2 linked regions of the Cricetulus griseus genome follow. The protein of the gene in region 1 purifies or fractionates together with the protein of each later gene. This does not show direct contact. Links are inferred from orthologs where the notes say so. Each region holds a gene or a part of one and is shown on either strand. Other genes may lie near its edges. The genes, in order: Taf5l and Tada2b.

Region 1 (3,808 bases):
TACATCAAAGTGGGTGCCCATGAAGCCAGAGGAAAGTTGAATCCCTTGGAACTGGGCTACAGGCAGCTATGAGCTGCTGAAGTGGGTATTGGGAATCAAACTCGGTTCCTATGTTAGAATAGTAAAGGCCTTTTAAAAAATTATTTATTAATTTATTATATATACAGTTATCTGCATGCATGCTTGCACACCAGAAGAGGGCACCAGATCTCATTACAGATGGTTGTGAGCCACCATGTGGTTGCTGGGAATTGAACTTGGGTCTTCTGGAAGAGTTGTCAGTGCCCTTAACCTCTGAGCCACCTCTCCAGCCCTAGTAAAGGCTTTTAACTGCTTGCTGAACCAGTCATTTCTCCAGCACCCATAGTATTTTAGTTCTCTTCTGATACTATAGTGGCTCTCAGGGATTGAGCTCAGGGTGTTAGGTTTCCCGGCAATCACCTTTATATAATGAGCCATCTCTCTCTAGCCTTTTTTTGGTTTGTTTTTAACATAGGGTCTCCTGTAGCCTTGGCTAGCCTCAAATTTGCTATGAGGATGTTCTCGAACTGTCCCTGATGTCCCTTCTTCTCATGTATTAAGGTGCCACTATTCTTGGATAAGTTCAAATTATTTATATACTTTTTGAGACAGGGCTTCACTAATATATAACCCTGGCTGGCTTGGAACTCATCATGTAAACCAGGCTGGCCTCAAACTCACAGAAATCCATGTCTTTTCCTTCTGAATGCTGGAATTAGATGTGTGTGACACTAAACCAGTATCCACTAATTATTCTCAGTCCTTCCAGGGCAGAGTATGCTTTTTTATTTCTTATAAAAGGTGATTACAGAAGGAATTCAACAAGATTAGTACTCAGAATCAACATGGTTCTCTTATTGCAACTCCTCAATTTTAAGTTAATACTGGCCATCTCAGGACCAGAAAACATGGTTTAAGATCTGCCTGCCTCTGTCTCTCTAGTACTGGGATTAGAGGTGTACGCTACCACCATGGACTAAATGGCTCCTCTTAAGCAACTGTTTATTTTTTGTTTGTTTTGTTTTTTAAAAACTCACATTAATGCATCAAGAAGAAGCAAATGGAACACAAATCCACTGATTTTGTGTCTCTGTGGTCATTTCATCTATGACCTGCCTAACTGATAATGGCTAAGTTCTTCATCCAAATCATGAGCACTACTCTGAAAGATGGTCTACATTTCAAATTCACTTCACTTAAAGGATGCTTTCTCTATGGATGATTTGTCCTTCATTTATTCAGAAGTCAAAAGCCAAAAGCTGCAGGCAAACAGTGAATAGGACACACAGAGTTCTCTCTCTATCCTTGCAAACTTCAACATCAAGATCTAACTTTCACAGAAATTCTGTTTGTACACAAGAACTGTGGCACAGGCCTTTAATCACAGCACTCAGGAAGCAGAGAAAGGTGGATCTTTGAGTTTGAGGCTAGCTTTGTCTACAGAACAAGTTTAAGGACAACCAGGACTACACAGAAACACTTGTCTTGAAAAAACAAACAGCCACCAAACAAAAAAGAACCAGACTCCCTAGAACCTAACACTATGCTTGTAATACAAGAGGTTCTGAGGGATATCTACATTATTTGGTTTCTTAACAAGGACTTACCAGTAAGAAAGCTTCTCAGTCGTCCAAACTGTACTTCATATTGCTGAGGTTCTGCCTGGCAAGGGGCTGCAGACACTGCATTGGCACAACCAGATTCTGATTGGACTAAAGGAGGAGACACACAAGACAGAGGCAAGAATGTAGTTACTATGCACTATGCAGCAGGATAAACAGAGGGCATAGAGTCCAATGGCATCTCTAAGTAAGACTTTCTAGGGCTCTGGGAGACTGGGGCAGGCTGATAATATTTGTTTGTCTCTCTTCTCCCCTGACACTCCATAAAACGAGGGCAGACGAATGAAAAGCTAGAGAGCATCAGATAAATTAAGCTAAGAGAGGATAGGCACATAATAGCCCTGAAATTCATCTGAAACATCTAGTCTACGCTGATGTGTTACAATGTGCTAGGTCTGTCAATTTGAGGTATTATGCCTCCCAGTTCAGAGCAACAGTCTTCATTTGTTTCTGATCCTGCCTTCTAATTTTCCAAGATTCCTGATTTAAAAGTTGGAAGTTCTAAAAATCATTTACATCTTTTCTCTACACTTCATCCTTTTGCTTTACTAATAGGGAGGTTTCCTTAACTTTTAATCCCCCCCCCCAAGACTGCAGGCTGGCATCAAACTCAGAGATCTGCTTGCCTCTGCCCCTCCCCTGGATTTAAAGGTGTATACCACCACACCTAGCCTAATCTTCAACCTTTTTGTTGATTTTCCTTTTTATATTTTTCCAAAGAAGGAAAGAGTTAATTTGGCTCACATTCCTTTTTATCATCACCTACCTGGCAAAATGTTCTCTTTCCCTAGGCAGCATTATCTTCTTGTCGCAATACTATGATATGCACAGTGGTCAGAGAAACATTTCCCCCAAGGCAGTGAAACAGGACACCTTAGGGATAATGGGAATGTGCCTGATCACTTAGGAGGGCATGAACAGAGTTTCACAAAGAATGTCTTTGGTCTGTAATCCTGGGCAGGTCATAATCCAGCAAACTTGTTCACTAGCCTTCTTGGGGAATAAGGTTGGCTGCAGTGTTCTGGGCAGCTAACATGAAGAAGCCTGGGGTCTCAATATTTAGCATGCGAACATGCACTTTTTGACTTTATATTTTCTTTTTTCTGACAGGGTCTCATTATGCAGCCCCCAGCTAACCTGGGAATCTCAATCTTTCTGCCCCTTGTGCTGGAATTACAGGAGTATGCCATCATACTTGGCCTGAATTATGCTTCCTAAAAAAGAAACTCAAGCTTTCTGAACCATCCAGTGAAGAGTCTACACCATATTGTTCTTGATTCCTATTTTAACTTTAAGGCAAACTTTCACAAAATGTTCAGAGCCCTTGACGCTCTGCAAATGGAGAAATGGAAAGGTTGCCCTCAAATTCCTTGCAGCCAGCACCCACTTAGGTGGTACCAACCTTGACTTCCAGATGGAAGCTAGGGGCCAAGGGTTAAGATGTCATCTTTACAGTGACCTGAAGAAAATGCCACATTTAGCCACTAGAAGGTAGATGGAGGGATGGTAATGAATACAGTAGAACTGAAGGAATCAAAACATAGTGTACAAAGAAGGGGGGGAGGTAAAGAAGAGTTCCTGTCTTCCAGCAAAATCAAGATAGCTAGAACATCAGTCAAAGTCCTTCAGATTTCAGGTTACCCTCAGACTATGCTGGTTCTTGGCTGGTGTATCTAATTGTAACTTGGACCCTTTAATGATACTTAGCACCCAGTCACTGTCTTGAAATCTATCTCCAGATCTCAAATGTCCTCCTTTAACCTGACAGGAGTGCTCCTTATAATTACTCTTAAAACAGCTAATTCCTTCTGCTACTGGCCACCATGACCATAATCTGGAGAGTACCAGGCCTTTGAAAGACTCTCTTGCCCTGCTAACCTAGTGCAAAGGACCATTTTCTCTACTCGCTGACCCTGTACTGCAGCATGTATTTCTAGCAGCAATTTAAGTTTTTTTTTTTTAAGATTTATTTATTATGTATACAGTGTTCTGTCATGTAGACAGTTGTGAGCCACCATGTAGTTGCTGGGAACTGAATTCAGGACCTCTGGAAGAGCAGCCAGTGCTCTTAACCTCTGAGCAATCTCTCCAGTCCCATAGAATCCTAGCAAGTTCTAAAGGAGATGTGCAATGAAAGCCTGCAGAGTGAAGACCAATGATTCAAA
Region 2 (4,313 bases), on another chromosome or scaffold:
AGTCAGATGACTTGCATACATAAAGGATACAGTATAGAGCTAGTACAGGCTCTACACAGGTCCAAACTGGGACATACTCTGTGTAATAGCATGCAAGCTCAGAACAGAACCACATATCTAAGCTGTGGTGCCTCTGAAGGAATAAAGCAACCGGTCTAGGAGAGCACAGATAGCAGAGTCACAGAGCCTCCTCTTTCTGTGTGAGGATCAGTGGTTGCATCTCTCAGACCGGCCCTGAGACTCTTGCTGCTTCAGCAGGTAGCAGTCCATGAACTACACACAGGCAGCCAAGTCCCAAGACTCTTCCTCTTGAGCTTTACTTCTTCCAAAGCTGAGCCTGGACCTCATGAGAACCTGCATCTTGACTCAAGTTCCTCTGGCCTTAAAGCCTGAAAGTGCTGCTTCAGAAGAGGCCTTCCCATCCAGCCTGTTTATTCATCCACATTTTACATGCTTCCATGCCTGGGTGCTATGTGCTTCTGACTGTGCTACACCAATGCAGCACAAACACTAGTTGAGGTGCGGACTCTACAGCCCAAGATTTCCTTTCTTTTCTTTAGCAAAATAAAATATAATAAGATAGAATAAAAACCATCACATCGAAGTTGGACAAGTCAAACCAATGAAGAAAAAGAGCCCCAAGAGAAGTGACAAGAATCAGCGACCCACTCGTTCACATACTCAGGAGACCCATAAAAATACTAAACTGAAAGCTATAATATAAATGCAGAGATGTGGTACAGACCCATGTTGGCCCTGTGCTTGCTGCTTCAGTCTGTGAGTTCACATGAGCTGTGCTCACTTGATTACAAGGGCCTTGTCTCTTTGTGTCCTCTTCCCCCCTCTGGCTCTTACACTCTTTCTGCCTCTTCTTCCACTTGGTATAGCCAGCCCAGTTTCAGGAGATAAAACAAGGTCAGCAGTGGGCTCCCCAAAACTAACACTCTCACTCTTTTCAGTGGCTACTCTAGAGATAGTGCTGGAGGAATGATGTGAGGAAGAAACGTCTCTCTGAAGCAATGACACATAAGGACAAAGATCAGTCAGTAGTCTTGACTAGGGTGAAAGCACTGTAGGCAGAAGAAAGGAAAACTCATCAAGAGAGTAAGCATGAGATCACAGGGAACCATAGATGTTGTCAGGCCTTGCAGGCATTGTAATGTAATCTAAGTAGAACTGGAAGTTGCTGAGAGCCAAAGAGATACAGCTTATGTTTCAAAAGACCTGTGTTGGTGTGTGAGAAGAGCTATAGAACACAAGGAGAAAGCAGGTAAACCATGAGATGTTAAAACAGTAAGAGGTAAATGTCAGCGTGGTTCAGACCAGAATTAGCAGCTACATTCGGCACATTTTTAAAAATAGATGACAGCTAAACAACTAGATGTAGATGAAGGTTTTAAGTTGACTCTGTAGCTGAGCACAAAGTGAGGCTGGGTCACCATGGGCAATGATATAGAGAGGAATGGATGTCATCAGGTAGAGACAAGCTAGAGGAACAGAACAAACGAATGCAACATTTTCAGTTCTGAGGCTCTTCTTCAGGGTGTTTCATGCTGCCTGATCTATACAAATCAAATGCTCAATATACACCAACAACACCACTTATAGGCAAAGCAACCAGATGTTTTTGGAGAGCAGGAGTCAAGGTGTTGGCCATCAGGAAAGTATCTGTAAAGTAGAATCTTTCCTAGGTGGGGGAGGTGGGTCCAAAAGGTCACTCACTGCATATGATGACCTGGAATAGTAAGGCAGTATGGCTGGAGTAGGGAAGCTTAGAGAAGCAGTACCCAACCATACCGGGAAAGAGTCTGGACAGAACAGGGTCATACTTAGCTCCCTTTTCTTTGAAAGCCTGAAGATACTATATGTGCCTGGCGGTAATGGTGACAAAGACAGAGTTCTTCCCTAATAAAGGTGAGGAATAGAAGGAAAGCTCCTTAGAGATCCCTAGAGAACAACCAGGAGACCAGCACACTATCTGGCTGGCACACCAAAGCTCCTGCCACCAGCAAGACACATCTACTGAAACCTGACAGCTAGAAAGCAGACTCCTGGTTACATGCCTCCTCACTGAGAGGCCTTTGTTCATTCTTTACTGGCCACCTCTCACACTATGTCCTGGGTGCTGTAGAGAGCAAGAATTAAACAAGGCACTGCTACCCACGGAGAACCCTAGCTCAGGTCACATGCTGACACCCACAGAAAGCACTCGAAGCCCTGAATGCAGACTAAGTGCATGCGGGATGGGCAGCCCAGGCTTCTAGCCTTCCTCATCACTGTGCCCAGGAGAACCCAACCCTACCAGGGAACTCAGAAGGGACAGCAGGGTCTCGATTGCTGCCATCTGGCTCGAGTAGAAGCTTGGCAAGGTACAGGGCCTGCCCTCCGCCTGCGTTCAATGCACACATTCTGAGGACGAGTGTGAAGGGCAGACAGCTCGGTGTAGGGGCCACGGGTCAAGGCTCTGCTCTACCAGCTGTGTAGCCATGGGCGCCCAGCATTCTCTGGGCGATCCCGTCCGGCCACCTGCGGCCCGCCGCAGCGTGCACCAAACCAGCCAGCCATGCCTTCCTTCTAGTCAGGGCCCGCCGCTCACCCAGTTGCCGAAGCCGAACTGCTCGATGGCGTCCAACAGCAGCTGCTCCTCGCGGCTGGTCCAGCCGCCCTCCGCCTCAGGCCCCCAGAGAGTGAATCGTCCACCGTCCACCAGCTGGTAACCGTGGTAGCGGCGGTGGTGGCCGATCTCCGCGCCAGCCGAGAAGCACTCGGGGCACAGCTCGATGTCCTGGCACTCGGTGCAGCGGAAGCGCAGCGGGCTCACCTCGGCCAGGCAGTACACGCAGTACTTCTTACCCAGCTCCGCCATCTTCCCCCGCTCGCCCGCCGCCCGGCCCGCAGTCGCCGCGCCTCCGGCCGTCAGCGCCCCGCCGCCTGTCGAGCCCACTGCGCCCACCGCGCCCGCGCTGCTGCCGGCCGCTGCCACGGCCGTCCCCGCCCAGGCGCCGCCGGAGCCCGCCAGGCGGGCCGCGTCCCGCCTCAGCACGCAGGCGCCCTCCGGCCCGGCCCGGCAGCCGCCGCCGTCGCCGCCGTCTCCCCGCCGCATCGCGCAGGCGCCCCGCGCGCGCCCTCTTGCGGGCAGCCGAGCCTCCGATCTGCGCCTGCGCGCCGCTGCCTCCCTCCGCCTCATGGACTCACGAAGCCGTAAGGCCCCGCCCCAAACCTGACAGCCGGCAAGGCGCAGACCGGAAGCCGGTCTGCTGCGCCACACCTCTCAAGAGACAGTGTCCAATCAGCGCTTACATTCACCTGTTCGTTGTCCTTCATTGGCTTAATATTGCTGGGAGGCGGAGAGAAAAGGAAGGCGGACGACCAATCGCGGGGCCCACCGCGCGCGCCCTGGTTGCCCCGGGAAACCTAACAGCAGGCGGCCGCGGTCCTCAGACCTGAGACTGCGGGTCGAGCATGGACAGCCACGACGGGGATACCGAGGGCGAAGGAGGAACTGAGGAAGCCCCGACCAGGCAGTCGTCCGAGACCAAGGTCAGCTCCGAACCTGAACCTCAGACCCCGGCCGACCCTGCGGAGCCGGAGCCAGAGCCCGGGCCGGAGCCGGAGCCGGAGCCGGAGCCGGAGCCGGAGCCGGAGCCGGAGCCGGAGCCAGAGCCAGAGTCTGAGGCGGAGACCCAACCTGTTGCGGACGACACTGAAGCAGAGGTTTTGGAGGGGAGTGATGACGCTCATGTCGAGGAAAGTCTGGAGGCCGCTACGGCTGCGAGCGAGACAGCAGAGGCTGCGAGCGAGGCCGTGTCCCGAGAGCCAGAAAGTCTGTCAGAGCCGCATCCCGAGACCGAGCGGGAGTTCCAGGAGGGGGACGAAGACGAAGACGAGGATGAAGACGAGGACGAGGACGAGGATGAGGAACCCGCCGGGCGGGAGAAGCAGGACAAGGTGAAGAAGGTGAAGAGCAAGGAGTCACGGTTCCGGCCCTCCCTGCCACTGACCACGATCGTCGAGGAGGCGGCTGCTCCAGCCCCACAGGCTGAGAAAGAGAAAGCAAAGGAGTCAGAGCAGAAGCGAGGTAGCGAGGAGATCCGGGCGACAGGTCGAGAACAACACAAGAAAAGCAAAGAGGATGAGGACATGGAAGAGGAAGACAATGAGGACTTCGAAGACTTTGAGTGGTCTGCAGATGTTCGGAAGCTGCAAGAGGAGCAGCTGCGCGGTGAGCTAGTGAACCAGTACCACACCCTGCTGTTGGAGCGGAACCGGTACCAGCGCTACAATATGTACCTACAGCAGAAGATCTCCGAGAC

Evidence for each region.
Region 2: the proteins of Taf5l (region 1) and Tada2b purify together in Homo sapiens (affinity purification with mass spectrometry; 3 studies listed by BioGRID and IntAct, counting the BioPlex papers as one, with this or other methods). This does not show direct contact. The link is inferred for Cricetulus griseus from reciprocal best matches to the Homo sapiens genes TAF5L and TADA2B.

What each region holds. Positions count from the first base shown.
Region 1 is NC_048596.1:200,688,540-200,692,347, forward strand, and holds part of Taf5l (TAF5-like RNA polymerase II p300/CBP-associated factor-associated factor 65 kDa subunit 5L), read right to left. Parts: intron 1,734-3,808; coding exon 1,629-1,733; intron 1-1,628. UniProt on the Homo sapiens protein: Functions as a component of the PCAF complex. The PCAF complex is capable of efficiently acetylating histones in a nucleosomal context. The PCAF complex could be considered as the human version of the yeast SAGA complex.
Region 2 is NW_023276807.1:105,487,045-105,491,357, forward strand, and holds the start of Tada2b (transcriptional adapter 2-beta), read right to left. Parts: upstream 2,951-4,313; 5' UTR 2,867-2,950; coding exon 2,597-2,866; intron 1-2,596. Other genes in the region: Ccdc96 (coiled-coil domain-containing protein 96), read left to right, coding at 3,463-4,313. UniProt on the Homo sapiens protein: Coactivates PAX5-dependent transcription together with either SMARCA4 or GCN5L2.